2 linked regions of the Alligator mississippiensis genome follow. The protein of the gene in region 2 interacts with the protein of the main gene of each other region in a pairwise test. Links are inferred from orthologs where the notes say so. Each region holds a gene or a part of one and is shown on either strand. Other genes may lie near its edges. The genes, in order: ERH and POLDIP3.

The links.
Region 1: the proteins of POLDIP3 (region 2) and ERH interact in a two-hybrid assay, tested with the Homo sapiens proteins (2 studies listed by BioGRID, with this or other methods). The link is inferred for Alligator mississippiensis from reciprocal best matches to the Homo sapiens genes POLDIP3 and ERH.

Annotation. Positions count from the first base shown.
Region 1 is NC_081825.1:232,518,913-232,534,753, forward strand, and holds the start of ERH (enhancer of rudimentary homolog), read right to left. Parts: upstream 7,503-15,841; 5' UTR 7,487-7,502; coding exon 7,484-7,486; intron 7,443-7,483; exon of another isoform or gene 7,344-7,442; coding exon of another isoform or gene 7,341-7,343; intron 2,103-7,340; coding exon 2,015-2,102; intron 1-2,014. Other genes in the region: SLC39A9 (zinc transporter ZIP9), read left to right, coding at 7,864-7,959. UniProt on the Homo sapiens protein: May have a role in the cell cycle.
Region 2 is NC_081827.1:89,170,489-89,185,931, reverse strand, and holds the start of POLDIP3 (polymerase delta-interacting protein 3), read left to right. Parts: upstream 1-9,074; 5' UTR 9,075-9,150; coding exon 9,151-9,209; intron 9,210-12,923; coding exon 12,924-13,311; intron 13,312-15,443. UniProt on the Homo sapiens protein: Is involved in regulation of translation. Is preferentially associated with CBC-bound spliced mRNA-protein complexes during the pioneer round of mRNA translation. Contributes to enhanced translational efficiency of spliced over nonspliced mRNAs.

The sequences.
Region 1 (15,841 bases), on a different chromosome or scaffold from region 2:
CGGCTGGACCCGGAGCAGTGGGGAGAGGGGTGGAGCAGGGCTGGACCTAGGGAGTGGGGGAAAAGGGGCCAGACCAAGAGTGGCAGGAAGGGGGACACAGGCAATTTGCTAATGTGTATATATACATCAGTTGAACACAATGTTTTATCAATATATTTACAAATTTAAAGCAATTTGGAAGCCTACCAGTGCCTCAATCATTATAATAAAATAAATTCTAAATACCTATACATTTCAGCATTTGATTTTGGTTTTGTTATCATATAAAAATCGGAGCTCCTTCTGCCCTCTTTGCTCCCCAGGGCATGGGTCTACCTGCAGCTGTCCCCCCCAACTGATTTTTGGATCTGAGCAGCCCTGATATGCCAGTGCCCCTCACTCCCAAGCCACAGTCTGCCCCAGCCCTGCTGGTGCTCCTCACTCCCAACCCCCAGTCCTGTACTTGCCAGTGACCTTCACTCCCAACCCACAGACCCCCACTCCCAGGTCCCAGTCCCACAGTGTGTGGAGCAGGGGAGGTGCTTGACCATAGGTGACACATCGGGGGGAAAGGGGCCCACAGAGGGACGTGTGACCCTCCCTTCTCCCCCTCAGACTTTTGTGCCCAGTGGGCACGGGGCTGCAGCCTAGGCAGACTGGCACAGGTAGGACCTGGCATGGGAGTGCAGTGGGGTGGCAAGACATGTTGCTACCACTGCCAGGAGCAATGGACTGGGAGGGGAGATGGACAGGACAGACATACTGTGTTCATTCCTTTCAGTCAGCCTCTCACACTGCCATTGCCCAGCCGCTGCCGCCGCTCCCCTCAGGCCCCCTGTACTGCCCCTCTCCCCACTCCCTCAGGTACAGCCACAGCCTGAGTGGAATAGCAGCAGCAGCTGGGCCATGACAGTAATGTAGAGCTGTGGCCAGGCAGACAAGCAGCTGTTAGCAGAAGGAGGTTAGGGCAACAGAGCATGCGTGCGCGCGTGCACGCGCCCACCCCACCCCCATTTACTCTTTGCACTGTTGATGGTGCAGCTGGCACTTTGATCCTGGCAGTGGCAGCAGCAAGTCTTGCCATCCTGCTCTCCCCTCCCCATGCTAGGTCCCACCTGCTGGGCTGCAGAATTGGCTCCTCCCCATACCGTTCCAGCCAGGCTGCAGCCCTGTCTCCACTGTGGGTGCACAAATATTGGGGGGGGGGGGGGGGGCATGGGGAGCTGCTCCCCCATGCTGCCTGGCTGCCATATGCATGTATGCGCACTCACACTGTGATTGCCTTCCTCCTGCCCAGCCCTTCCCGCCATCAGGCTGGAACTCTGTAGTCTGCGAGCGGAAACCCACAGTTTCCTGTGTTTTACTCTTTTAAAGGAGAAAATCCGTGTTTTTCTACAGCAAACATGGTTCCCTGGTGATCAGGATGTTCAGCACTTCTCAAAGGCCACCAATACATTCACAGCAATTCATATCCATTTATAAGAAATATTTCCTTCCACTTATCACAGCTGCAGACTTTTGCAGTATAAGTGTGTAAGTTGAACTAGGTTCTTTCTGGATCATCCGTTACATAAACAAAGGAGCTGCAGCTGAGCCTTATTTAGTTGCCAATATAAAGGGCAAAAATATCTACATTATGGTTTTCAGCAGTATTTACTTTGCAGGGCTAATGGAAATAAGTAGTTCTTTACAAAATTAGGCCCTGATTCTGCACTGAAATGTTGTTCTACCCTGGCACGGCACTGCTCTCATTGCAGGACTTGGGAATATAATGAAATCAAAATAGGACCCTGACTAAACAGAAGCAGCAAATGTAATTTGGAGCTGTTTTAACATAAATTTTGCTTGAACTGAATGTGATCCTTGTAATGAACTTTCCATTCTTGTAATGTTATTTCTATATGTTTTTTGCATTAAAAATGCATTTTTGCTCATTCTTACAGTTAGTGAGTTTAGAAAATACATGGAAACAACTTTCCTTAACAAGAAAGGAGATAAGCTAAAGCATTTTTATTGCAGAAGTAACGACACCTACCTTCCATGCACTCGTTCACCGATTCATAATCAGCATATGTTCTGCCTTCTGGCCTCTTGGTAGGCTGAACAAGCAGAATTGTGTGAGACTGCACAAAAACAAGAAAACATTGACTCAGAATTTTCAAAAATCATAAATACTTGAGCAAATCACTAATCTTAATCACAAAAAGACTAAACTAAACTTTCAGCTGACCATTCACACATAACAGAAGACAACCAAAAAATCCTATTTCTGTGTTTCTTGTTATTACTACTATTATCCAAAGAATAATTATGGCTTGGGCTTAAAACAGCCTTGCATTTCTTTCTGAAAAATCCCAGAAAGCCATTACAATACTGAAAACACATTTCACATTTGTAGCAAAGAATTAGAAATTGCAAAAAGATCTGCTAGGTGGCACCACTGTATTTCATGTACCTCCTGCTAACCAGCAATTAGCTATTTCCAATCTCAGTCGCATTAATTGAAAAATTTATAGTCAATTATATGCATTACTCCCAGAAAGCAATTTTGTTTTCCTTGCACACTCAAAAAACCTAGTGTGTTCAAGAAACAGTAAGCAAGGATCAGGCTTCTTCTTTGTAAATACGAGAGAACAGCTAAAGAAAATTAAAGCATATAAAAACCATGCTATCTGCATTTTATTCAGTTCACTTTTCCAATATAAATGTTAGCAAGTAGGGATTTTATTTTAATAGGCAAGAGGGTAGAAAAAATGGAGGGAAATCAAACTTCAGTTTACCAACATTACCCATGTCACAAAATGGAAATTTAACACGTAAAATATGAGAGATTATTTACAATCTTTATAATCTGAATTATACATGAGTGCAAAGCTCCACAACTGTGATCTACACTGTTATTTAAGAAAATTGTTCATAAATTAACTAAAAAATGGATGACTTTAGTATTAGAAATTAAGTACTCCAAACGCAAGCTTACGAGAATACTGCTTAATGAAAATATGTCTATCTAGTCAAAGAGGATTGTTGGCATAGAGAACTGCACTGTGTATGGTGGATTAAGTTACGAAAAATAGTTTCCCAGAGAAACTGCATACCTATAACCAACTGTATGTAACATACGTGCTGTGTGTAGTTTGCATTATTCCTATACTATTTTCTCTACAAACAAAGATAACGAGACTACTTCAAAAAAGTAAAAATATTCCATGATGTGGCTTTATGTGACTGGTTACAGATGGCTGAAAGTTTGCAAGTGCACAGGAAACAACACTGCTTCCAATGGTGATAATTGAATTCAACACTAAAGAAGTCAGGTGAGTAGACAGCAATACTGCACACAAAATTACTACTAACAAATATAAAGTAATGAACAGTGGAAAGATGTGAACTTCTAATACACATTATTGCAAAAAGGAAAGAGACACAACCTCCTTTTGGACAGCCCAATCAAAACCTCATCTCAGTATCTGGCAGGAGTCAAAAAGAAGTGTTACTAGGTTTTATTAAAAAAAAAAAGGGGGGGGGATTGGAAAAGTGTTATACGGTTATTTTATAGCAATCAGTAGTATTCCATACCTGGAACAGTACTTTCAGTTCTGGATATCCTGGCTCAAAAAAATGATATAGCATAGAGGGGATTTCGAGAAAAACAAACAAACTTACCTCTCTAGAAGAATTTACGTCCCTGCTCTCTGCTCCCATTTATACAACAAACATTTGTCTTAACCCCTAATCCTACAGCATCACAAAGGGAACTCATTATACCAGAAAACCTTTTCAGTCACTGCTGTGTAGGTTACACTCCCATTTTTAACTGTAGCATTCCTTATTCCTGGAAATAACTATGCACTCAGCTGTACTGAAGAGCATTATGTTCAAACACTCTAGATTACTCTGTATGAGTACAATGTCCCCCTTAATATCATTCTGCCAATCTTTAATTTTTGTTTTTAAGCAGTGATTATGTACGTCTACAACAATTATGAAAGTGTTAAATGCTGTGGCCTATTACCAAGCCTTACAGAACCCCAATTAGAGTGGGAGTGTCTCTATTATGATTCTCAAACAGTTATTTGGATTTTTGAATACATGTAATTTGCGTTTTGATAACAGATGCTGCTATTTTTACATAAGATTACTATGCAGTACTAAGTATATAAGAACCACGATTATTTTTGTCAAACAAACATGTAATATTAAACAATGAGTTGAATCTGATAAGACCTATTTTCCCTAAAGCCATGCTGAGTGGCATTAGTTAACAAAGATTAAAGACTAGCTGTTTAATTTTATCCTGTATCAGCATTTATCATTTTATTCACCACTGGTGTCAGATTATGATGCCATATAATGACCTGGGTAATCCCACTTGCCCACTTTAAATAAATACTACTTTAAGTCATCTGTCATTTCCCCACCATTCCAAGCTTAAGTGACATCTGTAGGCCAGAGATGTCCTCGGCCAACTCTTTTAGTATCTCAGGGGGTGTCCAGATGAGCACACATGTGGTTTGTGGTGCCTCAAACCTGTTTGAAGCACAGCATACCACATGCGATGCATGTGCAACTCTTTGCCACGCTGCAAATTTGATACTGGGAACTCTCAGTATTAAAACAAACAAAAAAAACGCTGTCAAAAAAAGCTGCACAACTGGAAGCTGGGTCCTCCAGGGATATGCTCTGGCTACCAGCCAGAGTGTCTCAACTGCTTTAGGTGTCCCCTGGCTCCTCTTCAGCATGCCATGAGCTGGGAGGAGTGGGGAAACAGCCATTTCCCTGAAGCGGGGCATTCTGCCCCACACCAAACCCCATGAGCCGGGGCGTGCACAGCCACTAAAAGCAGTGGCACAAACATGTGCTATTTTTGCTTCAGCAAACGCACACAGGAGTATGTGCCCCCTGGGTGCAAGTTATTCAGACCTTTATAAATGATTATTCTAAGAGATGTTATCTAACCCAGCATTTCATGTCATATTAGCAGCACTGTCACTTGCATGTGAAAGGAAGGGATTCTTCCATTCGGGACTGGCGAGGCCTCACCTGGTGTACCAGGTCCAGTTTTAGGCAAAAATGATTTGTGGCCTGGGAAGCAAGACTTATGAGACTGGAAGAACTGGGGACATTTAGTCTGGAGAAGAGAAGATTGAGGGGGATTTGATATTTGATAACAGCCTTCAAATACCTGAAGGATGATTAAAGAGAAGATGGAAAAACTATTATCTGCAGCTGTAGGGGACAGGACTAGGAACAATGGCCCTGAGCTGCAGTGAAGGAAATTTAGGTTGGAAAAAAGGAGGAACTTTCTATTAGGGTGGGTCAAGCATCAAAACAGGTACTGAGAGAAGTTGTGAAATCTCCATCCCTGGAAATTCTCAAATGTTGGACAGAGACTTGGCTGGGATGATTTAGTCAGGGAAGATCCTGTCTTGAACAGGGGGGCTGTACTAGATTACCTCATGAAGTCCCTTCCAGCCTTATTTTCCTGTGCACAACCTCCCCAGTTACTAACTGGAAAGTATTTTTTCACACTCCTGAAATATTTATATATTTTCATAAATGTATACCATCCTGTTTTTTGTAAAATGCAGAGCAAAAATATTTACCAAAAACTTCTCTTCTGCACCATTAACAATTTACTGCCTACATGAAGCATTGCGTCTATACTATTGCTAGATTTTCCTATTTTGTTCCTAAAATATTTAGCTTCTCTCTGTCATTTTGGTGTACCAGCCAGAGATCATCTGTCCAATCTTGCTCCCCCACCACATCTATCTTCCCATATCCATTTTCTGTATTGCTATTTCTTCTTTTGCATTTGTTGTGTTGGGATTTAAGTTTCTAATTTCTGCTTTTGATTCGCCACCGAAGTAAGGTGGGTTTTGAGCTCCTTGGTAGTGGAACTGGGGGCTTTTAGTCATTTAATAAACTCTTTCTAAAGAACTCCCGATTTTCACACAATTGATTCCTTCCAATTCATTTCAATCAATTTCCCTCAACTTTGGGAAACGAGGATTTTTCCAACACAAAAAGCAAAAATAACCCATTAAACTGAGCTGCAGAATTCATTGCTATAAGATAGGGGCTTAAGACAAAAAAGGTCAAACCTTTCTAGAAATATGAAAATCTCTATCCCCAGTTAGAGATGGTATATCCACACCACCACACATCAGAACAAACTGACACGGGATGGGAAATCCTGCCCAAAATTGGGATTCTTGTACCTTTGACAACTGCGAAATGGGTACGTCTACATAAGACACTTTACTGAGCAGCAGACCAATCTGCTGTGCTAAATAAAGCATCACCATCTACGGGTGCATGGCGATTAGGGAATAGCAGACTAATTTACTGCGGTACCCGACAGCCCAGTCAGATACAAGTGGTATCCAGCAGCACAGTAAAGTAGTGTGCTTACATGCACATGTAGACAGTGATTTTGGGATTAGTTTACTCTGGCTCAAACTGAGCCACAGTAAATACAGTTATATCAATTACCTGCGTAGAAGCACCCAGTGGCTACACAATTGGTCTGAATTATTGTGGCAGTTCCTACGTTTAAAGGAAGTTGACAAACATTTATTTGGGTATGCATCTACAAAAGCACCTGGGACGGTGCAGACAGCTGGATCAGTCAGGCTCCATACCCTGGCAGAAAGGTTTCTACCAGCTGCAACCCACCTACACTACTGCCACCAGTGAACAAGCAAGGGAGGGAAGTGGGGCGGAAAGACCCTGTGCCAACCGCTTCAGTGCAAGTGCAGGCAGGGATTACCTAGCAGACCTTTTTAGTGGATTTTGAGTTCCTCCTATTGCACAGCAGAAGCAGGGGCTTCCTGCAGCAGGCTCCAAAGCTGCGGGGAGCAGCACGTCTCTTATAAAAAAGTTTCACTTTTTTTTTTTTTTTTTAAAGAAGCCAGGTACTGCTCCAAAGGGGCGCTCGGGGCCCAGGAGGCTGGGCTGGGCCGGCGGCAGGAGCCACGTTTCCGAGTGTCAGGTGGGCCGGGCCTGGGGACGGAAATACGGCAGCAGCGCCAAGCCGGAACGAGCAGAGGGACGTAGCCGGCTTGCGGCAGCAGCTGAGACTCGAGCGGGGCCCGGCATGACCCCCCGGGGAGGCCGCGGCCGCCGGGGACCGCCTTTCTGTCCGGGAAAAACTCTGCCGGCCGCACGTGCGCCGCGGGGCCCGATCCCGCCCCTCCCCCCCCACGTGCGCCCTTCCCCCCACGCGGGAAATGGCGCGCGCAGCCCGGCACTGTCCCCCCAGAATCGCCCCGCACCCCCCGGCCCCTCCGCCTCCCGCTCCGCGGCCCGCGGCCGAAGCCCCTGCGGCGCCCCCGCTTCTGCCCCCTCCCCCTCACCATGGCGACTCGCTCTCCACAGCCCCCGGCGCGAACCAGCAGCTCCCAACCGTCCCCCACAATCCCCCGCGCCGACCGGAAACGCTTCAGCAACCGCCAAACGGCTTCCCTCCCTCCCCCTTCTCATTGCAGCCCACTTTCACCATAGAGACAGCACCTCCCACAGAGCCAGAGCGCCGCCCAGGCACCTCGCGAGAATTGGCGGGCGACCGCCGCTGCGCATGCCGGGAAGGCTTCCGGAGCGGAGACTCGGGCTGCCATGTTTGCTAAAGGCAGCGTTTCCTTCCGTCGCGCCTCGTGAGGTCTGCCATCTTGGCGGTGGGTGACCCGGAAGCGGATCCGGCGGAGGGAGCAAGCGCCAGAGCGAGAAGCTGCCACTTGGCCTCAGCGGGGCCAAGATGGAGCCCGGAGCTTGAGGGCCGAGGTCGGGCCCCGCGGGCAGGGGCGGGGTCCGAAAGCGGCCCCGGCGCGGCCGGCAGCGCTGGAAGCGCCGCGGGGGAACCTGAGCGCGGGGCCCGTCGCCATGGACGACTTCGTGTCCATCAGCCTGCTGTCGCTGGCCATGCTGGTGGGCTGCTACGTGGCCGGCATCATCCCCCTGGCCGTCAACTTCTCGGAGGTGAGGGCGTCCCGCGTGTCCCGGCTCCATCGCCTCGCCGGGGGCTGCCGGCGGCCCCTGCACCCTCGGGCTGAGCCGGGAGTGCCTGGCTTAACCCCTGGCTGAGGGGGGCACCAGGACTGTAGCCGGCTGTGCCCGCCGCGCTTCAGAAAAAAGGCTGTCGAAGAAGTGGTGGAGAAGGGCAGCGCGGGTGATTAGCGGTGTGGAGGGGCGCCCGTCTGAGCAGAGGCTGAAGAGGTAGCAGCGAGGGGCTGGGTCAGTAGAGATGTCAGGTCTTGAGAAATAAACTTTAAATACCTGGTTTTCCTTGCTGAAACTGATAACAATGAAGCAAGTGAGTGTTAACTAATTTTGCAGAGGAGAGCGTTTAGTTGCTGACTTCCCTTGGGTACCTTAAAAGGTAACTGATGTCTATTTATTTTTGTCACTTCTCAGTCAAGTTTGAGGGTGCTGTTTTGGTTAATACGATTACGCACAACGAAGTGGCATATTTAAAAATAAGGAGATCACAAGGATTAAGAGTTAAACCTCTGGCTTTTAATGTGGGAGAATATAGCACCCCTCGAATTGAGCTTGTTTTACTAATCTATAACGTCAACTCAGTTTTATAATAGTAGAGTCTTTTTGCTTTACATTTTTTAAATTGAGATCACTTAACTTTTTAGCCCCCTTTACACCCTCATTCATTACTCAAATATTTATTATGTGCAGTTAGTGATGTGTTAATATGGTAAACTAAATGGTCTGAATTTCCTGATTCACTTCTATGTTTGAACACTTACTGGAAGTTACAGCTTGATTTTTTTATTTTTTTTTTTTTCCTTGAAAGGTACCAATCACCCATGCTTTCTGTTGCTTAAAGCATAAGCTCAGGTTTTTTGGAAATACTACTTTTTTATATTGTGCCCCATACTGGCAATGTGTAGCCCTAGGTGTTAGAGCTTTAATACAGTTGACTAAGGCTTTTTGAACGTATGCACCATTATGAAGTGGAATGATGTTTTTGGACTTCAGAGTTTTAAGAAATGGGTCACAATAACGTTTTTAGTCTCCCTTGATGTATTAAAAAGCCAGCAGGAATGGAGCTGCTTTGTAAGAGTTTAAACTAGAAAGTAAAAGCCTTGTTGCTTATAACTTGCAACAGATGCCAGGGAAGAAGGGTGCTATTGATTAATTTCTTATAGTAAGGAATTCTACTCCTGGAGTACATGATTGATGCTTTATTTCATGCTAATGTACCTTTCAAATTAGACTTCAGTACTCTTAAAAGGAAGAAACTGTTAGGACAGATTTCAGGCATTGAAAAATTACCCCTTGGGGTAAGTAGGCTTAGTGTTATAGGCTTATTTTGTACTGTACCTAGTAGAGTTGCTCCACTTGTTTTCAGTCACATGTTTCTCTCAGATTCAGATATGTATGAAAATAAGTGGAGCGACTCCATTAAGTACACTACGTTTCATCTTGGGAACATTATTTACCTTATACTGTTTTTTGGCCCCCATTTGTCAAATGCACACGTTAATCCAGAAGGACTAGTCACCTGCTTAAAGTTAAGCATATAAATGAGCCTTTGCATCATTAGTGCCTCTAGTTGGATGCCATCATTGTTTTTAAGTCACAAACTTTTATCACTGATGAACTAATGATCTTTGGCAGCACTTACTAAATAGTTACCTTGTTTTTCTTCAGGGAAAAATGGGTATATGTTTTCTTGTGAGGTTTTTTTAAAATACTGTTAATTTTTTTAACATCTTGGAGGAATGTAGGTCTTTTGGGGGCTTGTTTGTTTTGTTTGTTTTGTTTTTGGTTACTGATAAGCTGTTGATTGATTTTGAGCAGATTTGTTTTTAGTTTAGAATAGAGAACTTTGGTCGGGTCAGTTTTAAGTTGCATATTTATGGTCTTTCATGTTAGATCCTGGAGAAAATTGTCAAGGGATCCATTAATGCCAGACTAATGGATGGCAAGCTGCTGAATGCCAGCCAACATGGCTTTGTGACTGGTAGGTCTTGCCTGACCAACCTCATCTCTTTCTATGACCTGGTAACATGCACCCTGGACAAGGGAGATGACATGGACGTCCTATATCTGGACTTCAAGAAGTCCTTTGACCTAGTTTCCCATGATGTCCTCATGGTTAAGCTGGGGAACTGTGGCCTTGATCATCATACAGTCCGATGGCTAGGCAACTGCTGGCTACAGGGTTGGACCCAAAGGGCGCGTCCACACGAGCGCGCACGTGCCTTTTGCCCCTCCTCAAACCCCTTTGAGGTGGGGCAACAGACGTGTGGGAACAAAAAAATGTTCCCCATGTTGCAAGTTTGCAGTGCAGGGAGAAAATTTAGACCCCTGGATATCCAGGGGTCTAAAAAAATCGATGTTTAAAAAAGTGGAGCAGGGCATAGTCCCTGACTGCTCCCTGAGGCAACCGGAGGCTGGGTCCTCCATGGAGACACTCTTGCTGCCAGAGCATCTCTATGGTTGGCCCTCGCCCTGGTGCTGAAACGTGGCTGGCCAGGCCACATGTTTCAGCACCAGGCTCCAGTGCCAGTGAGCAAGGGGCCGACAAACTCCCCTCAGAGGTGGTGCAAGCACCTACTCTGGACTCCTTCAAAAAACAGGTGGATTTATTTCTTGCTGGGGTCACTTGATCCCAGCTGACTTCCTGCCTATGCGGGGGAGGGCTGTACCCGATGATCTCATGAGGTCCCCTCCATCCCCTAATGTCTATGAAAATGTATGAAATCTATGAAATAAAAGTATTTTACTTACTAGTATGCATACTTAATCACTTTTAAAAGTTAAGGTAAGGCAAACTGCATTTTCAAGAGCTGTGATTATCAGATTGGCTTTCTGAATAACCATTAAAGAATACTGTCCCTGTACCCTTTTAATATTAAAAACAAATGCTGTAAGATGCTTTTGGAAAATTGAGAAAGTGTTTGTATCTTGTGAGCCACTAGATCAGACATTGGAAATTGAACCTGTCATTAATTTGTCTGTTTTGGTTTTGGTGTGGGTGGCTGGATGAGTGCTGCAAGGCCTTGCACTACCACCCCTAAAGCCCCTACCAGATTGGGGCCCCATGCTGTCTCTGCTTGACCCTGTGCTATAGGATCCGGTCCTTAGCCACCTGTAGCCAGCTCCTGTGTGGCTGGATTGGGCCACAACCCACTTCCATGTGCTAATCCAGTGTTTGGCTCATGTGGCTCCCCATGGGTCTGGAAATTTGGCAGCAGAGGAGAGGCAATTGCTGCCAGTACTTCCCACCACCACATTTTTGGACGTGTGGACTGGATGACATGGCTCCATGGGCCAGGGATGAGTGGTGACTTGAGAGACCAAGTCCTGAACGTGACTTCTGATCACTTTTTACATATGCTGTGGGGGAGACTGTGGGCTTTATGATTCTCTTGTTTTCTCTAACTTCTGGACTGGTGTACTTCACAAAACTTTAACCACAATATAATTCAAGCACTTCTGCCTATAAGTGATCTTCAAATGGCTCCCATTTCTATAGTAACTAAGTAAGGTTAACTAAACTTCATCCACTTTTCAGAATGTTCAGCCATGCTGGTTTTACTTTAATTATGTTAAATTCTTCAGCTTGTTTACGTGTAGTGCACCAGTTTAACTGAAGGTTTGTGTTTTAAGAATTGATTTAAGCTGAAATGGCATTAAAGGCTGTGTGGATAATCTTAGTTTGCTTATGTTGATTAGAAACGTGTGTAACATTTAAAAAAAAAAAAAAGAAGCCTCCTTTCAAATTAAATGTCTACGTGGAAGTTGTGCTGGTTTAGCCAAAGTACAATTTGTATAGTGAAAATAACCTAATCATTTTGCTGTGTAGCTGTGATAATTGTTAATTTCTGAAAGTGCTTGCCCCATAGTATTTTTCTTAGTCTTCAACCCTAAACCTTTGCAAATGACTGGTAACATTGTCATAAACTAGCATTGGCTTTGTCATATGTCAGATGATGATGATCAGTACTTTCTCACTTTATTTAGGGAAAGTAAAACCATTGTAGTGGCTTTCTCTCTAATTATATAAAGGCAAATCCCTTTTTTCATGCTTCACTAATATTTTATTTAACACTGTTAGTTGACTTTTTACCCATTAGAAGAATCAAAAGCAATTATGGCATTCTGGATTTATGCAACTTTGGATCACTTCTTTTATCAAGCCTGACAAACTATATACTGGCACGTCTGGGAGTTCTTTTATTATCTTTAACTAATGGAGTTCCCTAGTTCAGGCTTTCATTTAAATAAATTATTTTAATGATTTACATAAATCTAGTTTTGAACTTACCTTGGAGATTGGATCTCTTCTATAGCATATAATATTAATTGCAAAACAGGAATTTCAGTGCTTGCTCCAATTTTAACCCTTCATTAGGGAGTCTTAATTAACAAAACATTAAGTATACTTTTCAAATCGAAAGTTTTAGCTTTGGCAATATATTGGGTAAAGTATGGCCAACTTGCAATTACTCTTACATGTCATGTCCATTCATCAAGGATTCCTTGCTGTAGGGGATCCTGTTCACTCGAAGTTACAGTCAGAAAACTAACGGTTGTAAGGACAGCATCTTGCGCAACACCTGCTACTCTGCACAAATGAGACATTTGCTATTACTACTGTTATCACTGTAGTTTAGAACCCCAGTATTTTCCAGTGCAGAATGAGTTGCATCCTGTTTTTTTAATGTATCAAGAATCCAATAAATTAAAATGGTAGTTTTACTGTGAGTTATGAGCACAAGAAATTAAATAAAAGCATGCTTTCAGAAAATAGAGCTTACTGGAATGTACTTGACCTGTGGTTAGCAATTAAGTGGCCATAGTCCACTCTCCTGAAGGAACCTGTGAGTATTAATTTGTAAAAGGTATTGACCCCTTATCTTCCAGGGCTTGGTAGTCCACACTTTGTGAACTCCTGTGGGAGGAAATACTGACAAGGTGCACAATGCCGGAGTTCTAAGGAGATCGGGCATTTACATGCTTGGACAAGCTGGTACCTTATTCCCTGCCAAAGCCATTGTCATCAGTGGGATATTGGTGCCCACTGCTATGTTGGTGGACCCATTGTATTGTTTCCGGCCTGCACAAAGAACAGGAGGGCTTCACTGAGCTTTCTGTCCTTGCCTAACAGCTGCAGAATATCCGTGAAGTACATATCTGGAATTCTGAAGCAAGGGTGTGTGGACATGCATCTTCAAGTGTCTTTTCTACTGTGGGCTGCATAGGTAGCTCTGGGGAGCTGCTGCAAGCTGTTCACCCTCCCCCCACCTTCCTTGCAACAGCTTGGAGTCTGTGTGCCAGGGTGGATAAAAATCAACAATTAAACAAATAATAAAAATAAATAATTGTATTTTTTATTTGTCAGATTTTTATTTAATTGTATTTTTTTATTTTTTTGTTAAGATGCTTTTTAAAAAAAACTAAACCTATATAAAGATAGTTAATGCTCAAAGGTATTGTCATGGAATAGGGATTATAACTTCTAATCATATTCTCTGTGAGACTATATATTCATGTAACCTTTTAAAAAAAGTTTTATGAATAGGTCATGACTGGCCGTGGACTATATTAGGGGCCCAGTCTTACGGGGTTCCCAGAGGCTCCCCTGTAGATTAGTAAAGATTAATGAAAACCACTCTATCCAGTGGGACTCAGTGCTCAGTCTAGAACAGGGGTTCCCAACATTTGTGTGTCCAAGGGCACATTTGAATTTAAAAGAAAAAGCAGTGGATGCCAATATGAGTATTAAAGTTTAGACTTTAGATCAATCCGATCATCTCATCTATTAGTTAAAATTGCATTAGAGCCACAACTTCAAAATGCAGCTTTGCTTTACTTCTGTATTCTTTTGAAGTTTTATCCATATTGCCTGTGGGCATCACGCTGGGAGACTGCTGGTCTAGAAGATCCCCTTAAGCATCTCTGTGATGCTTAGTTCCAGTTTTCAAACTTGGATTTTTGTCTCTAGAGATAACATCCTTGTTAACAGCAGTATATGGAGATGAGAGAGAAGACCCGATTACCCACCCATAAACCCTATTGTGTCTCTGCAAGTTTGTGTACAGAGTCGAGCCCTTACCTCTCTCTAAAAGTGCAAAGTTTCAAGAAGTTAAATGAATAAAGGATTGTTGGGGGTTGAGTAGATCTGGGCAAGGAGGAGTAGTCTGGAGATAAGTGCAAGTACAAATAAAAGAGAAACATTTTGAGCAGAACATTCCAGAAGTCTTGAGGGAAAAGTTTCTGAGTTTATCCTCTCCATTGATTTGAGAACTAGTGAGGGAATGGTATGGTAGAAGAGAGACCTATCATGGCAACAGGCTTGCCAGACTGTAATAGAGAAAAGAAATCTAGAAGAAGGTGAAGAAAGCCCTAAGCTAATAACTATGGCTGCAGTGCTCGTTTGATGTCTTCCTAATACACCGTGGCAAAAGTGTCCCCCAAATATCCACGATTAATCTAGTGAATTGAAGATCATTTACCTCCCAATGACTTCACAAGTATCTGCTTCAATTAACTTTGGTAAATACAATAAATGAATCACAATTCATTTTTCTGATGTAGCTACAAAATTGATCTGAAAAAATATCAAAATAAATTAATGCTTGAAAATGTATAGAGCAGCAGTGGTCTCCAGCCTTTTTAAGTAGGAGATCACCGTTGGCATTTAAAAGCAACCCAAGATCTACTATGCACCACCACCGTCCCCCCTGTTTGTCGATCCCACCTCCTCCCCCGGTAAGTGTGGGGAGGGAAGAGGGGGGTGGCAAATTGAGGCAGAGGGAGAAAAAATTATTTGGGGGCATGCCTCCCCAGCAGGTAAGTCCCACCTGGCCAGGGCCCCACTGAGCTTATCCCGGCTCCTGCCTCTGCAGGATTGTCCCTCACTTCAGGGGCCTTGATCCAGCCCCCGCCCCTTCCCTCCTCCACGGACTGACCTGCTGGGCTGGGGCGTGTGCATGCATGCATGTGGGCACTCAGCCCCCCACCTCAGCCTCAGATTTACTCCAAGAGGCTCCAAGATCTACTGGTGGATTGAGATCCACTGGTATAGAGTGTACCTTCTAGAAATGAAACCTAAATCTATCTCTGAGTTGTGAATAATATGTATTAAGCAAGAATGCACTTTTTGTAGAAAACAATGATTAAATCAAGGCTTCCTGACCAGTAATTTAAATCTGTTTGATTTTTAAATTAGATCTACCCTGCTACACCCTGCACCTCCTCACTGCCAACAGCACATCGCCCCCACCCTGACCCTGGCCTACCTTGTGCCCACTCCGGATTTGCCCTGGCTGGAGTGAACCCATGTGCACAACCCCAACCCACCCTGCGCCTGCTCTGGAACGCGTGCCTGTGCTGAGCAGTGATGGCAGCCAGGCAGAAGCTGCTGCTCAGTGCAGAGGAAAATCAGCCCTACCCCATCATCGCTTTTGAGCCCTTCTTGCTGCAGCTGCCCAGAGCCTGTGCCTGGGCTGCCCTATGGCTCCTCTCTGCCATCATCACCGCCGCCTCCAGGCTGCCACAGCACTGTAGTCTGTGGGTAAGGTGCCTGCTGAAAAGATAGGTAGATAGGGACTTCTGGTTTTTTTCATACTTAAAAAAAAACCAACAAGTAACTTGGCCATCTGGTGTGTACTTCTCTAGCCTATGTAAGCACAAGTTTTTACTGACTTCCTTGTTCTCTTTCCTCGTGCCTTCTGGGGCAGGCAGAGGCAGGTGCTTTTTTTAAAGTTGTATCCTGACTTGAAACTCATTTGAAGTAGTGGGGGCAAACTTCCATGTTTAATTGTGATCTGTAGGCAGGACTATGTACTTCCCATAATTCAGAACAGAAAAATTCATGCATGTCAAAATTCAA
Region 2 (15,443 bases):
ATAGGCATCCTGCCAAGTAGGTGGGTCACTGCAAGGGCAAACTACCCCCTCTCAAAAACTGACTAGTAACAAAAGTCCAGTAGTCACTCTTTATATATAATCCATAGATCTCATTGGTTCGGTACTGGGATCTTTCATAGTTCATAGTACCCTTTCTATATTATCATTTATCTTTTTTGGAAGTGATAGATTTTGGAGATTTTTATATATAAAAAAGTTTATATATATATACAAATACAGAGACAGACAGAGAGAGTTATAGAGAGAGAGAGAGACAGTTCTATATATATATATATATATATATATATATATATAGTCATAGTTTTATAGTTATAGTTATACTAGCAAATTGCCCATCAATAATGATAGGCGGGCATGGGCCCCATGTCTGCCCCACCCACCGCTGCTCCTCATCTAGGCCCACACCTCCTTTCCCCACAACACTGCATTGGGCCCAGGGCCCCCAGGGCTGCTCCCCCTGTCTCCACTGCCTGGGGTCCAGGCCTACTCCACCCACTGCCACTTCCAAGGAGCAGGTTGGGGGGGGGTGGGTTTGAGGCCAGTGGTGCTCCATCACCACCACCTCCAGGGAGCAGGGCCGGGGGGGGGGGACGCGAGGCCAGCACCTCTGACGTTGCTCCCCCCACTCTGTCCCTGCCATCATGGTGGCTCTCCGGTCACCACCTCCTGTCCCAAATGCTCTTGGAGCACTCTGATTGGTTGTTTCAGACAACCAATCAGAGTGTGAATAAAGCGTTATGGACAGTCAGACTATGTTTTTTATATATATAGTTATATATGTATATAACTGTATAAATATATAACTATATAGATATATAGTTATATATTCTATATATATAAATTCTCTATATATGAAGGGCTTAGTCTGTCTATCTGTCTGTCCGTAATGCTCTTCATCAAGTGCACATGCACCCCCAGGAGGGTGGGCGGTGATTGGCTGTGTGGGCCTGGATGGGCATGGGGCAGGGGGAGGCAAAGGTGGGGTGATGGTGGTGGCTGTTGTTGGGGCTGGGCAGCGGGGAGGGAAGGGGGGGAGTGGAAAGGGAAGGGGAGAGGAGGGGGGGGTCATGGTGGCAGCACCCCCCCCAGCTGCCTGGCCCTGCAGGGGTGATGCACAGGGGGTGCACATGCACCCCCTTAGTGTGGCGATGCACCCCCAACCAAAAGGTGCCACCGACACTGTCAGCGGCACCTGTGGGTGGTCGCTGCTCACCACTTACCCTGCTTGCCACTGCCATGCTCCCACCACTGTGCTGCTGCTGCCGTGCCCCCTCGGCTGCCAGGGGCACAAGTCGTTCATGCAGCCCCAGCAACAGCTGGCAGGGAGAGGGAGGCAGAGGGGAGGGAGGGAGGCTGTGCGGGCCTGGGTGGGCATGGGGCAGGGGGAGGTGAAGGCGGGGGGTCACAGTGGCAGCTGTTGTTGGGGCTGGCTGTTGTTGGGGCCGGGCAGTGGAAAAGGAGGGGAGCAGGGAGGGGAGGAGAGGGGAGGTGGCGTAAGTCCTGCTGCAATGTGGAGGCGGGTGGGTGGAGGGAGCCCCCACACTGGAGGTTCGAGGAGGAGGTGGCGGTGGTGGAGGGAATCTTTACATGGCTGGCCCCAAAAGGGTGAGCAGGGGCGGAGGCATGTAAACAGTCCCTGAAATCCTTCATTCTTGATAGGCAATTGCCTAGTATATACATATAGGTTTTTATATATATATACATTCTAATTTTATAAAAGCCTATGTCTGTCTGTCTGTCCGTATTTATTCGTGCTCAGATTGGCTGATGGAAACAGCCAATCAGAGTGCTCCAAGTGCAGGGGACCGCCACCATGATTCCAAAGCCACGCCGGGGACTAGACAGAGGGTGGGGGAGCCAAGGCTTTGGCTCCCCCACCCTGCTCCCTGCAAAAAGCAGAACAGCAGCAGCATGGGGCGTTAGGTGGCAGCACTCCACCCTAGCCCCCTCCCTTCCACCCCCGTTATAACTATATATATATATATATAGTTATATAGTTATATAGTTATATAGCATCAAGCAAAAGCTTTTCTTCACGCACCTTAAACCACATTTAAAGCCCGCATGCCCGTTACAATAAACACACCTGGTGACCTGTGCTCCCATATACCCGTCTGCAGTCCTTCCCCTAACCCAACTGCAGTCTCTTCGTCCTTGCCCCAATTTTGAGGTTTACATTCTCAGTTCATTCACTGTCATTGTCAATGTTGCTTCCACTGTTGCTAACCCTGCTGCTGTCATCATCACTTTCTCCAGGTCCAGTTGTGTCACTGTCCTCTTCATTATCCCTGTCCACTCCCCCTCTGGGGGTGGATCTTTGAACAGCGTGTGTCAAGTGTTCCTTTGCCAGGTGGAGTTGGATGCAGCTTCTCCGTCCTCTCCCACCCATTTCCAGTAATAAGACTGAAGTTCAAACAGAAACATTTTAACGCAGTCTGTTTCCTCGAGTTCCATGTGTCTGTAGCCCAGAAGTTATACTCTGCTGTTGTTTTCCTTACCAATTTAGGACATAATCCTCAGGTGAGGGAATATGAATGCTGCTTTGGCTGTAGACATTTGACATGTTGGGGTGAGGACAGTACAAGTAACTCATGTTTGAGAGATCAACCCGTAGTTTGCGGTGACTTGCAGCCTGCTCACTGCATCCCCATTTTTAATGTGTTCTGGTGCTGAAAACACGACACACAAACTGTTCCCAGAATTGTGCAGCCCAGTATGATTCAGAGGAATTAAGGGAATGTCTTGCTGCAAAGCATCATGGTCCTTCTCATTCTGATAAGTGACCCTCTTATCCTCTTGACTAAGCCAAGCTAAATAGATGTTCATCAGTACAACAAGCCTATTCTGTCTAGGCACGAGCAAAGATGGATGGTGCCCTCCTGAGAGGCAGTAGCAAGGGTAAGCTTATTAGACAGATCAGCATAGTTGCATGGAGCAGTGTGAGGATTGCATGGGAAGCCACAAATGGGTGGTCTTACAGTTTAGGGGATACAAACCAAGATTGGAAAATTGACATTTTCCAGAACCAAGCTTCCAAGGGAACTTTTAATTCCCTTCAAATTTAGCTTACCTGACAGGACACTTGGCCAGCTTCTGGGCCTGTGTCCATAGTGCCCAGTTCCAACTTGGACAAAATCCATCACAAAAACAATTTGCATCATCCCTGGCACTGTTATTGCTAGTGAAAGATGTTTTTAAAAGAGAAGAAGGGTCAAGAAAGGACCTGCACATTACAGAGTCTCATTCAGTCTGAGCATAGTAGCGTATCAGCACCAGCAGTTGTAAAACACTCCTTTGGAATATGAATCCCATATGTATGTACGTGTGGTGGTGGGGAGCAATGAAATTAATAAGTGGGCTGGAACACAGGTTGGTTTGCTAAGATTTGTAAGACGAAAATAGATGTGCAGAAACTAAAGCTAGAAGAAAGTAAAAGAAGCTAAAAAAACAAACTAAAACTAAAAGAAAGCCTACTAAAAGAAACTAAAAAGACTAAAAGAAACTAAAGGAAAGCCTTAAAGGAAACTTTAAGGTAAACTTGACATTTTAAGAATCGGGCTCAGGTGATCAAAGGTATTTAGACAACTATCTGTGTCCTTGCACATCTTCAGCATGCAGCAGCATCCCCAAAACTACCACTCAAGTGCCCCATATCCCTGTGGGCACCTAAATTTGGTGCCTACATTTCTATGCTAGGCAGCTACACTTCTGTCAGTGGGCATGTAGAGTGATGCTTCAGCACCAACACCACCCCACAGTTCAGAGCCCCAATTCAAACCTTAACTTCAGGGGCCCTGAAATAAGATTCTCACCTACCTCACCAGGAAGGTCTGTTTGCACCCATGTTTGCATCCTTCACCCCCAGAGGGATCTAGTGTTTCAACTACTGACATGGGATGTGAGAGACCCAGGTTCAAGTACCTGCCTGAAACAGAAAGAGAGAGAGAGAGAGAGATACCAATACTCTGACACTGTAGTTACAGCACTCAAATGGCTGTAGGAGACTGAAACATAAGCCCATGCTCTAGCAAATATTTAATCATTTATAGAAAGCTAAGCAGCTCCAAGGGAGAGATGGAGAGATACTATGTGGAATAATGTGCTGCTGGTCTGGTACTTCCCTGGGATGTAGCAGCTGTATGAGTACTTGCTCTAAATCAGACATGCTTTCTCTCTCAACTCTCAGGTGACTGCTCCAACCAGTAGGTTACTGAGTAGGTCTCCCTCTCCGGCTCCCTCCCCACCTCTCTCATTTTAGGCAGACTGGGGGAATTAGGCCCCTTTAGCTGCAGGAAAGGTTCATGGCTCAGGATCCCAAGGGGAGGAGCTATGTGCCTAGCCAGACAGTTGCTTAAGTGTCTATGCCCAACTCCCTTTTATTTCACTCCGCATCTCTTCATTGTTTCTATACCTTGCAGCTACCTTGAAGCAAGTGGAGTTGTGTCAACAGGCCCCCCTGGTGGAGAAGCAATGAATGCCAGCAGAATTGGAGCTTCCTGCTGACAAAACTACAGTTTCCTCAGTATCTAGTGAAGCACGTAAACCTCCACCAGCAAAACTTTGCCTTCCTGAGCCACCTACCTGCCCCCCTGCTTTGGGTATGGAGCTGGGATGTGTAACCAGAGCAGAGGAGTTCACTAGATGGAAGGCCTCTAAAAGCCAGGGACTGCGATGCCTAAGTGTCTTGGACGATCTGGGCTTATGCGCCTATATGAGAATGACCCTGTACCATGGAGCTCTAGCAGAACATCATCAAGGAAAGTGCTTTGGGAAGGAGACCCCTTTAGTGTTGTGCCTGGGAAATGAGGGGAGATGCAGAGACCTCTCTCTGTCTCTCTCAGGAGTTCTAAGGACTGTGGGATGGAAGAAGGTAAGATGCTGGAGCAGAAGCAGTCTCATAGGCTTTTTTTTAAGTAAAATGTTTTCTGTTCCAAACCAGATCAGCTAAATCAATTCCAAATCTGTGAGTCATTCAAGAACCATATGTGGCCCTACTACCAGCAAATGTCCCCCACCCCCACCTGGGGTTTCAGATGTTTCCAAATCCTTTGATAGGCATCCTATGTGCAGGCCCAGGCCTGGAGGCTTGGGCTTCGGATGTCTCTGGGTTTCTCTTGCCCTCAGCCATCTCAGTCTCATAGGCCTTGGAGACCAGGCACCCCCCAGTTCCTGAGAAGAAGGAATGTTAGGGCTGACTCCGTTTCCTACTTTGTTGGCATATTTCTAGTTATGGTAAATTGGCACATATATATTTTGCCAGCAGCTCCTGTTGGTTTGAGGTTCCTGCAGGGGAAAGGACAAATTGAATTGTTTTTTAAACAGGTTTAAAATAGGGGGTCTGGATTCTTAGCCCATCGCCTGGATTCATTTTTCTGACTCCTTTGTTTGTGTTTGCCTTTCTCAGCACTGCCCTCCTCCCTGCTCTCTGCCCTTCCCTCCTGCTTTTGTATTCAAATTTTTCTGTCCTTATACAAAGCTTTGGACATCTCCTTTCACAGCATCTAAGGAAGTGAGCTCCAGCCCTTGAAAGCTTGTCTTTGTATGTATGCATGTATGTATGTATGTATCTAGGCACATGAAAGATAACATGGAGCCCACAAGCCTCTGCTGTTGTTTGATAATGCAGAAGAGATTTCCCTAACTTAAACATCAATGAGAGCAAAGTCAGGGTAGTTTTATACCCTGTAGACCAGGGGCAGGCAATAATTTCCACTGAAGGGCCACTTAATGAGTTTTGGTGAGCTGTCAAAGGCTGCAGTGACAAGTGCCCCACCCCCTGGTTGCCATTTTGGAACTGGAAGTCCCACCCCCTAACCCCTGACCTTTGCCGTCGGAGGTCCTTCCCCTTGCCTCCAGAAATACTTCTTTTGGGAAGGGGGTTGGCCATCTTGGAAACAGAAAAAAAAACCCAGGAAAAAAACCAAATTATATACTAAAAATCAAACATTGACAATAATATTTTAATTTTATTTTTTAAATATTTTTGTCCTGATTTGTGTGTGTTTGCATGCCATATATAGAAGTGAATGCATAATATCTCAAAATGAAGTCTTACTCTTGTATATTGCAGGCAGGGGTGTGGAGGGGTGGGGGGAATATGGGGAAGTGGGTTTGTGAGGGGCTGTGGGTGTGTTTGTATGGATGTGTATGTGGGGTGTGAGGGAGGGTGTGGGGGTTTGTGTGGATGTGGGTGGGTGGGTATGGGGTGTGTGTAAGAAGTTGTGTTTTTGTTGATGTGTGGGTGTGCGTGGTTATGGGGTTTGTGGGGGTGTGTAGAGGGGGAGGGTGGCTGGGGTGTGTGTGGTGGGATGTGTGCACGTAGCAGTGAGCAGGGCTCCCCCCAGAGGCATGTGGGTGTGTATGTGGGGACGGGTGGGGGGTTTATGGCAAGGTGGGCAGGAGGGTGTGGGTGGGTATGGAGTTTGTGGGGTGTATGATTGTGTGAGGGGGAGGGTGTGGTTGTGGGGTTAGTTAGGAGAGTTTTGGGTATGGTGGGGTATGCATGGAAGCTCCCTCATGTGCACCCCTCTGAGCCAGTCAGCATCCATCTCCGCCTCACAACAGCCTGGAGCCCACACACCCTGCAGTGTGTCCCCACCACCGCCAACAGCACGCAGCCCCTGCCCCACCCCAGCCCGCCCTACACCTGCACCAGACTCACCTCCGCAGGAGTGGATCAGCTGGAATACACACGCACAGCCCTGACCCAGCCCACCCATGGTGCATCCTGCTGTCCCCTGGGCATGCAACAAGACTGGGGCAGCTCCACAGCTGGACTGCCTTTCTAGGCAGCCCAGGCAGCAGCAGTTCCTTCCGGGTGCTGCCACTGCTGGCCCTAACCCCACAGTACCAGTGGGGACCTGCACACCGCCCCAACCCGGACCACCCCACACCTGCTCTGAGCAGTGGCAGTAGGTGAGCAAAAACTGTTGCTTGGCATGGGGAGAAAAGCAGCCCGTCCCCCCTCCCCCTCACTGCTGCTGGTCACTTCCACCCAGAGCCTGCACTGGGCTGCCCTGTGGCTGGTCTGCATTGTCACTGCTGCCCTGCTGGGCAGCCCAGAGGCACTAATGACAGCGGCGGAGACAAATACAGTGCTAATGAATGCAGTGAAAACTAGTGAAAGCACTGGAATGGTGATGGGTGCGGAGTGCAAATTTTGCAGGACTGGCCCCTCCTACTCTGTGAAACCTGTGGCTGCAGGGGGCTCTGCAGCTATGGGGCCCCCTGCATCCAGCCGCTCACCATTGCCCTGCCACTGATGCCAGCTTCTTTGGCCACTTGCCACGCCCCCCCCATGCCACTGCTGCTTGCTGCCAGCTTCTTCAGCCACTCACCCTCACCCCCACCCTCCCCACTGCTGCTGCCTTCTTTGCAGCAGGGGGCCCCAAAACTATTTATTGCAGGGAGCCCCAAAAAATTGTGGGCCAGCCCTGGAACTTTGTAATGGAACTAAAATACTTCAGCTGTTAAAGTGTGTTTTGTTCTGTCAAGTGAACCACAGTGGTCACCTGACAGGTTGTTAGAGGTACAGTTATATATATATGTTTTTTGCAAAAAAAAAAAAAGCATGTGTCTGTGTGTATGAGAACATGTATGTGTATATATAGGTACACACACACATTTATATATATATATATATATATATATATATATATATGCATACACACTTCCTATATATACTTTTCATATATTTTATTAAAGTATATAAAGGTAGTTTTGTACCTTATAGACTAACCAAAATGTGCCTGTGTTTGTATAGAGTCCTCTGTGTGTGTACACATTTATCTCTCTCACTCTCTCTCTATAGCTATCTATCTCTATATTTATCTAGAGAGAGAGAGAGAGAGCGAGCGAGCTATGTAAATGATACAGGGGTGTAGGTTGTAGCCGTGTTGGTCTAAGGACATAGGCAGACAAGGTTGTTTGGGTGAATCTGATATCTTTTATTAGACCAACTTAAATAGTTGGGGGAAAAAATTTAGCAAGTTTTCGGATTTCAAAACCCTTCAACGGGCTGAGGCAGTCTCTGCAGCTGCTGTGTGCTCTTCCTATTCATTCCATCCAAGAAGAGCACACACCAACTGCAGACTTCCTCAGCCGGATGAAGGGTTTTTAAACCCGAAAGCTTGCAAAAAAATTTTTTTTCCAAGTACTTAAGTTGGTCTAATAAAAGATATCAGATTTACCCAAAAAACCTTGTCTGCCTATATAAATGTTATGTGTATACAGACACACACACACACACACACACACACACACACTTTGGTTAGTCTAAGATACAAAACTACCCTGCCTTTTCATATATTTTATGAAAGTACATGAATATATCTGTATATACAACAATACAGGTTGTAGCCGTGTTGGCGGATTTACCCAAAGAACATTGTCTTTCGTGTTAGGATGTTTCGTATTTCAGGGGAGGATGCTGATAGAGGGGATCCCTTGGGCAAAAAATTTCTCCCGTGCGGAAAGTACACAAATTCGGCCGAAGCAAAGAGAGGAGCTCCCAATATGTTTAAATTTGCTTCATCTCCAAGCTACCACCACTATCACCTCCCCAGCAAACTCGCGCTGATCCCACACTATTTTTGCTAACCAGATCAGGGTGGTCGGGCAGATCGCTGCTCCCGGGCATCCCGCGAAGTAGGCGGGTCACCCTAAGGACGACCTGTGCCCGCACAAAAATTCCTCTCACATTAGCAGTGAGAACCCGGGCGTCACCCCGGGTCGTTATTTTCCTTACTCATAAGTTTAAGGCATACACCTACGCTTGCGCGGCGGGGTGGCGGCGCTCGGCGGGTTACCCCAAGGTCACGGTGAGAGCGGGGGCCTACCTTGTAAATTAGTTTCTGTTTAGTTTCATGCCACTCATCCCGTACCGACAGTCGAACCCGCGGTCTCCCGCAGCACTCGCAGTTTTCGGGCAGGAATATGTGCAAACGCGGTGCTTCGTTATGCAAATATAGCCCTGCGTGGCCGCGGGGCATTCTGGGAGCTTCCACGCTCCCGGGCAGGGCCGCGTGACGCGTGCCGTGGTCGCTACCGGGGGCGGGGCTTGTGGCGGAAGTGCTCGGTCTCGTTTCCAGGTCTCGCTCGCTGCGTCGGATCCGTGGGCCCCGCGGCAAGATGGCGGACCTGTCCCTGGACGAGCTCATCCGGAAGCGCGGCGTCAACGCCAAGGGCAGGTGAGCGGGGCGGGGCACAGCGGGGGTCGTGGGGGGGCGGCTCACCCGGCCCCAGCCTCAGCCCCGCTCCGCCTCAGGTCCTGGGCCAGCGCCGCCGCCCTGACTCGCACCCCGACTTCCCATTGGCTGCGGCGTTGGCCTTGGGGGGCCTGTTTGGATGCTGATTGGCTGCGTTGGTTGTCAGTCAGGGCGGGGGAGAGCTCGTTCGGTTCACCCTGAGACCCCGGGGGAGGCGGGGATCCCCCTCCCGCTCCCCCTGCAGCCCCGCTGTGCTGGGGGGGGGGGGCGTCCAGCCCAGCTTCAAGCGGGGTGCCCTGCCCTGCCCTGCCCTGCCCTGGCTTCCCCCAGCCCTGCAGCCGCTGTTAGTGATGGGGCCACCTGAGCTCTTCTCTCCGGCCGTTGATCCTTCTGTTCTCACCCCCCAGCCATGGCTTTGTCCTGGCTTAGAGCTGAACTAGCCCCTACCTCCTCTGCCCACATGGGCTGGTGTTAAGGCTGTGGGAGCTGCTCCCTATCTATTGAGTGGCCGTGGCTGGTCTCCCCCGTGGGCCTCCAGTTGCCGATGCCCTCGGTGCAGCCGGGAGCTGTGGGCTCTGGAAGGCTTCGTGAGGTGGCAGGGAGTGAAAGGTCCTGGCTGTGAGAGGACAGGTTGGGCTTCTGGGGCAGCCTTCCTCTGTGCTGGCAGCTGTTCAGGAGGACCTGAGAATGTAGCTTCAAAAGCCTACCATCTCCTTAACCGCCCGTGTGGTAGCCCTCCTACACACCCCTTGAGGTGTGGCTGTGGGCAGGGCCCTAGAACAGGTCTTAGCTCAGCAAAGGGCTTTGAAGACAAGGCCTGTAGTCTCTTGATTCTGCTGCTCCGCTGCCTCCTTTTTTTGTAGCCCTTCACCTTCCTTTTTCTGCATCGGTTAACCCTCCTCAGGGATGCCTGTGGGTCTCTTCTCTCCTTCTCTGTGTGTCTGGTGGTACACAGTCCCTGTGATTCTGGTCTGAGGGCAAGCATAGGTTTGAATTATTCTAGTTTAGCCCACATGAACATCTACAGGGATTTCTTTGGGCGATCTCTTTTATTGGACCAACTATATACTTTCAAAAACAAGACTTTCTTCATCAGACATTCTTGTCTTTTAGAAGGCGATACCTAAGAGGTAGTAGCAAGTAGCTTCTCGTTTACCTTTAAATCCTAGATGAGGACTCAGCCTTGCCTTCATTTGTGCTATGCTTGGAACAGTCTCACGCTGCTTAATATGCTTGGCATCTCGTGGCTCCCCTTTCAAATCCCTTCTTAACATCCATTTCTTCCAGGAAGCTTTCCAACCTTCTTCTACTCAACAATAATCTCTTGACAGCAACCTGTACTAGAGTGTTGCCTTTCTCTTGTCTTTCTTTTATTTATTGTGCATGATTTAGAGTGCAAGCTTTTTGAACCAGCTAGCATGCCTTACTCAGTGTTGGGCAAACAGTATATTTGTATTGCAGTATAAATGCTATTAAATATAGTCACACAAAATGGTAATAAAAAATTGAAAGCCTAAACATAAAGTGTGCTTGCGCACTCATAAGCATGATGATGATGATATTATTGTTTTGCTTTTTAGGTATTGAGGAGGATTTGTAATAATAGGAACTGATTTGGATGGAGTAATGCTGTTTAAGGGTCTCCCTTCTTAGGACCCCATTATGCTACTCTGAGAGTGATTCTCTACAGAAAAGTGTTCTTTCCCAAATCACTCTTCTTTAACTATGACTCTCTTAAAAACATGGGTTTAACTTAATCCCTAGTGCAGAGATTCGTGCCTGATTTTTAGCAGCTCTGATTAGGGAACAATGTCAGTCATCCTGCTCAAATGCTAAAACAGGGTATCAGATGACTTCTGTTTTTATTTTTGTTTATTTGACTCCAATCAAAAAGCAATCTATTCCTTTTGAACCCATTTAGGGATTGTCATATTGTTAAAGTATCCTTGTCTAAAATGATGGGGAGTTTTGGTGGATAAAACGCCTCTTTTTTTCCATTGTTCACAGCACAGCTCCCAAAAAAGCATGTTTTGAAAAACTTCACAGGCCACCAGTGCACCTAGTAGTCAAAGGCCTATTATCATGTCATACACCTCTCTAACTTCCTTTCACATATTTTCTGAATATTACTGACATCAGATCTTTATGATATTGCTGTCTCTTAACTGTTACTCTGGCAGTGTGACTTGGTGAGTAAGACTGATAGTAAACCATAGCAGACATTTTTTTTTAAGAAGCATTTTCATTACATTAGCCCATTCATCAGTTTTCTACCACTTCAGCCTTCAGCATGTTGAGTCAGATAAATTATATACTGATGTTTGATTGCTAACTACAATCACTGATTTGTGGTGTTGATCGGAAATTTTCAAATGTTCCTTGATTAGATTTGAGAAACAGCCACTTGGTGAATTCGATGTGCTGAAGGTCAAAATATGAGATGAGCCACTCAGCTTGATATAGAATCAGATCTCTAGTTGCTAGCCAAAAAAACTTTGCATGTTTTCATTTAAGTATTTCATAGTAATGGAAAGATTGGGGGAAGGGGAGAATCCCTCTCCCAGTAAAACCCCAAAATATTCAGACATCTGTCCAAAAGGTAAAATGGAACTTGACACAACCAGCCTTTGCTAATAATGTTTTAGGTGGGCAAGAGGGGACAAGAGGTGGGCAAGATGGTACTGGAAGCTGACCATCTTTTTTTGGTCCATGTTCTTCCTCTTGGTATCTAAATATGCTTCATCTTTCCCCCAGTGCTCTGTTCCTAAAATCCTGAGGGGAGGGACTTCCTTCTTGCACATTTCCTACACAGTTTGTGAGATTTGGTGTTCCACCATTGAATGCAAGCAGAGCCTGGTTCTGAAATGCAAAGCTGCTTTGGATTTTTTTAAATATTTTTGCCTAAAGTTAAGTAGAATAGTTAAAGTCACGCAGAGTTATGATCAAGTCAGAAAATGCCACAGTAAAGTTAACATACAGAGCCTGGCTTACCTCATTGTATGTTCTCATGATGGTAGTCATTTCTGAAATAATGCAACATATCCTACAAGGTTTCTTTCAGCCTTGGATTTGCCTATAAAACATCTCTATAATACTAAGAAGTCCCCTTCAGAAAGGCAGTCAAAAACACATCAAGCTTAACCCATTATGGGGAGGTAATGAATCAAAAAGCCAGTAGTGGGGGAAAAAAAATTTCAGTACCATAATTTTAAAACTAATTTTCTCAGTTTTATCACCTGCCACTGAATCTGTACCCATGCTCCAAAAAACCTATGTGGGGATGGACACATGCAAAGATTCAGGCAGTTCAGTTTCTGTTTGGGGAAGTTAAGGATAGTGAAATCAGGTTCCTACTTGTTAGCCTTCACCTTGCTTCTCATTAATACCTTATAGTTGCTTGTGCTTCTTCCTCTGTGAACTTTTATTCTTCAGTATTGAGTAACTTAATCTATGAGTTTGTGCTTAAAAATTCAACCCAGGGAATTTAAATATTTTTTGCCAGTAGCTTAAAGCAGAGGCAGTCACAATTGCTAGTGATGTAGATGTTTCTGGCTTCGGTTCTGTTTATGCATATAAATGCATGGGATTCTAGATGGGACTGTCTCAGGGTTTGATTTTTAGTTTTTTGTAAAACTGTTGAAAAGTTTCTATTAATTCTATAACCTGCTTATATTGGGTCTGAAACTTCTTTTCCAGGCTCAATACCAGGCCAGTATTTGGAGGTGTCAGATCGCGAATTGGGATCCAGCAAAGTCTTCTAAGTAGACCTTCAGCAACCATCGGTTTCCAGCGGACTTTTGATGCTCGGCAAAAGATTGGTCTCACTGATGCCCGACACAAACTGGGAGTTAAAGACGCCCGAGAGAAACTGGTTCAAAAAGATGCTAGATTCAAAATCAAAGGGAAAGTGCAGGATGCCCGTGAAATGCTGAATTCCCGCAAGCAGCAGAGCGTGGCTGCTGAGAAGGTGACCAAAGTGGTTGATGCCAGAGAGAAGATCAGCTTAAAAAGGAGTGCTCCTGCCATTATGAGCCCAGCCATGGGTACAGTGAGCCCAGCCATGAAAATCACCAAAACTATTCAAGTAAGTCACCCCCCTCATACCACACATCCCCTCCGTGCTCCCACCCCCCAACCAGCTATCCCATTACAGGCTAATTGAAACATTTATACTTAGAGAAGTCCACATGGTTACAAGCCAGCCCTACGTGAAACAAAGTGATACAATTGAATTAAGTGAGAGAAGTTTTTTAAAAAATTATTATTTTTTAATTGAATGAAGTGAAAAAGGTCTTTGGAACCAAGAGTTCTAGTTGTTTTGTATGTGAAAAAAGTGATGCACTTACATCTTCATGCTTGGTTTTAGGAGCTCTGAGAATTTTTGGTACCCCTTGTGCTGTGTTGGCGGGGGGAATTGTAAAAACAAGATTTTACCTAAGAAAAATGCATTTTTTCCCTTCTAACTGCCAGTAACTCTCTCCGTGTGTCAAGGTCAGATTATCTTTCTGAGTCTGTGCAGACTATAGTTGATACTCTGTGAGGTTTGAACATGCTTAGCTCTTCCAGTTAAAATCCAAGGAAAATGTAAATATTGTTACTAAGCCTTACACTGCTGATCATCTTTGCAGAACCCTTCTAACATGCTTGCACATCATGGCTGGAAATTCTGTTAATTAGGAAGTACAGCCCACAACCATAACATTTTTAGGTTAGACTCTGTATTTATATGCATCTTATTGCATTCTTTTTGGCCTTCAGCAGAACGTAGCTTCCTCTCCTAAACTCCAGTCTTGTTCCTTGTCCAGTACAAGGGTACTGTTTTACCATGAAGGTCCTAAGCATTAGGGAGTGGCCTAGTTATTCAACACTTTAATGCTGGAATTCAAGTTCTGTCCCAGTTTCAGTAGAACTGCTGACTGCCCGCCCAGCCAGTGTTCCTCTGCCCATTGATTTCTGACTTCACTTGTCATGCGTATTTTCCCATTTGTCTGGCAGCTTGAGTCCTAACTGATTCTTCTGGGCCCCAAAGCCATGTATCAGCTGCAGGCTTGTCTGTTGAAGTCTATAATGCACAAAATGACAGTGAACAGAAACAAACCTCTCTGAGGAAAAAGAGAATGCTGGATGATCAAGAGGAGAGGAGTGAGCAGCAGACCATGCCACTTGCAAATTATGATACTCTAATCCTGATCCTGGTTATCTGCTAAATCATTGTGCATCTCAAGACAAATAATATAGCTATCAACACCTCTTGTTAAATCGGCAGGCCAACAACTCCCTTCATTTGCTTCCAGCCTTTGCTAAGAAAAATCCCTATTCCCTTGAATTTAGGTGGGGATTTACTCTGTTTGGGTCCCATTGACCTTGGTCTTTGCTTAGCTTTTTCTTCAAAGCATCAAAATGTGCACCTTTCTCCCAAAAGTTAGACAACTTGCACATTACCGCTTCAGATTTCCCTCCCCCAGATAGCAGCTCACAAAACAAAAAAGCTGCCCATTCAGTAGTTTTCAGATTAGTCAGTTAAGGATGCTTGCAAGTGTCAGTGAATGATTGGAGCAGAGTTGGTGCATATGGGGCTGTCAGCCATGTGTTTGAAGGATTTAAGTATTTTCTGAAAAATTAGTCCAGCAGCAGTGCACTTTAAAAATATCAGTCATGTCAGTAATGACTTGCCTCAACTGTGCTGCCTTAGTACTCTCTCTGTGTAAACAAGTGAGTGCAAGGTCACACAGTGACAAAAACCGCAGGTGAACTCCTACATATGAACTAAGATTCTTGATGGGTTTTTGCCAGTTTCCAGCTCTCTGCTAATGCCCTTTCTCACAACCAGAACAAGAGGAAATGAGCTGAACTATTCTGGTTCTTTTCAGGCACATGGCTGCATTGTTTTGATTTGGTCAGATCTCATGCTATGAAGACGAGATCTGTATGTTATCATCATTACTTGACTGAGACCTTCAGCAAAATCTTGAGGTGCTGCTGGTAATATATTAGGGCAGATTTTTCTCTCTGAATTGGAATCATTAAGTAACTGAATAATTAACTTAGACTCACACCGCCCACTGTTGCCAACATAGTGGCATGGGATGGTGGGACACTGGTTGAAGGCACAAAAATAATGTAGTTATCCATCATTTGCAGGCCTGCAAATTGGAATCACTGGCAAATCAGAACAGAAGGATGCTGTACCGCAGGGAGCTCTTCTAAATTAAATGC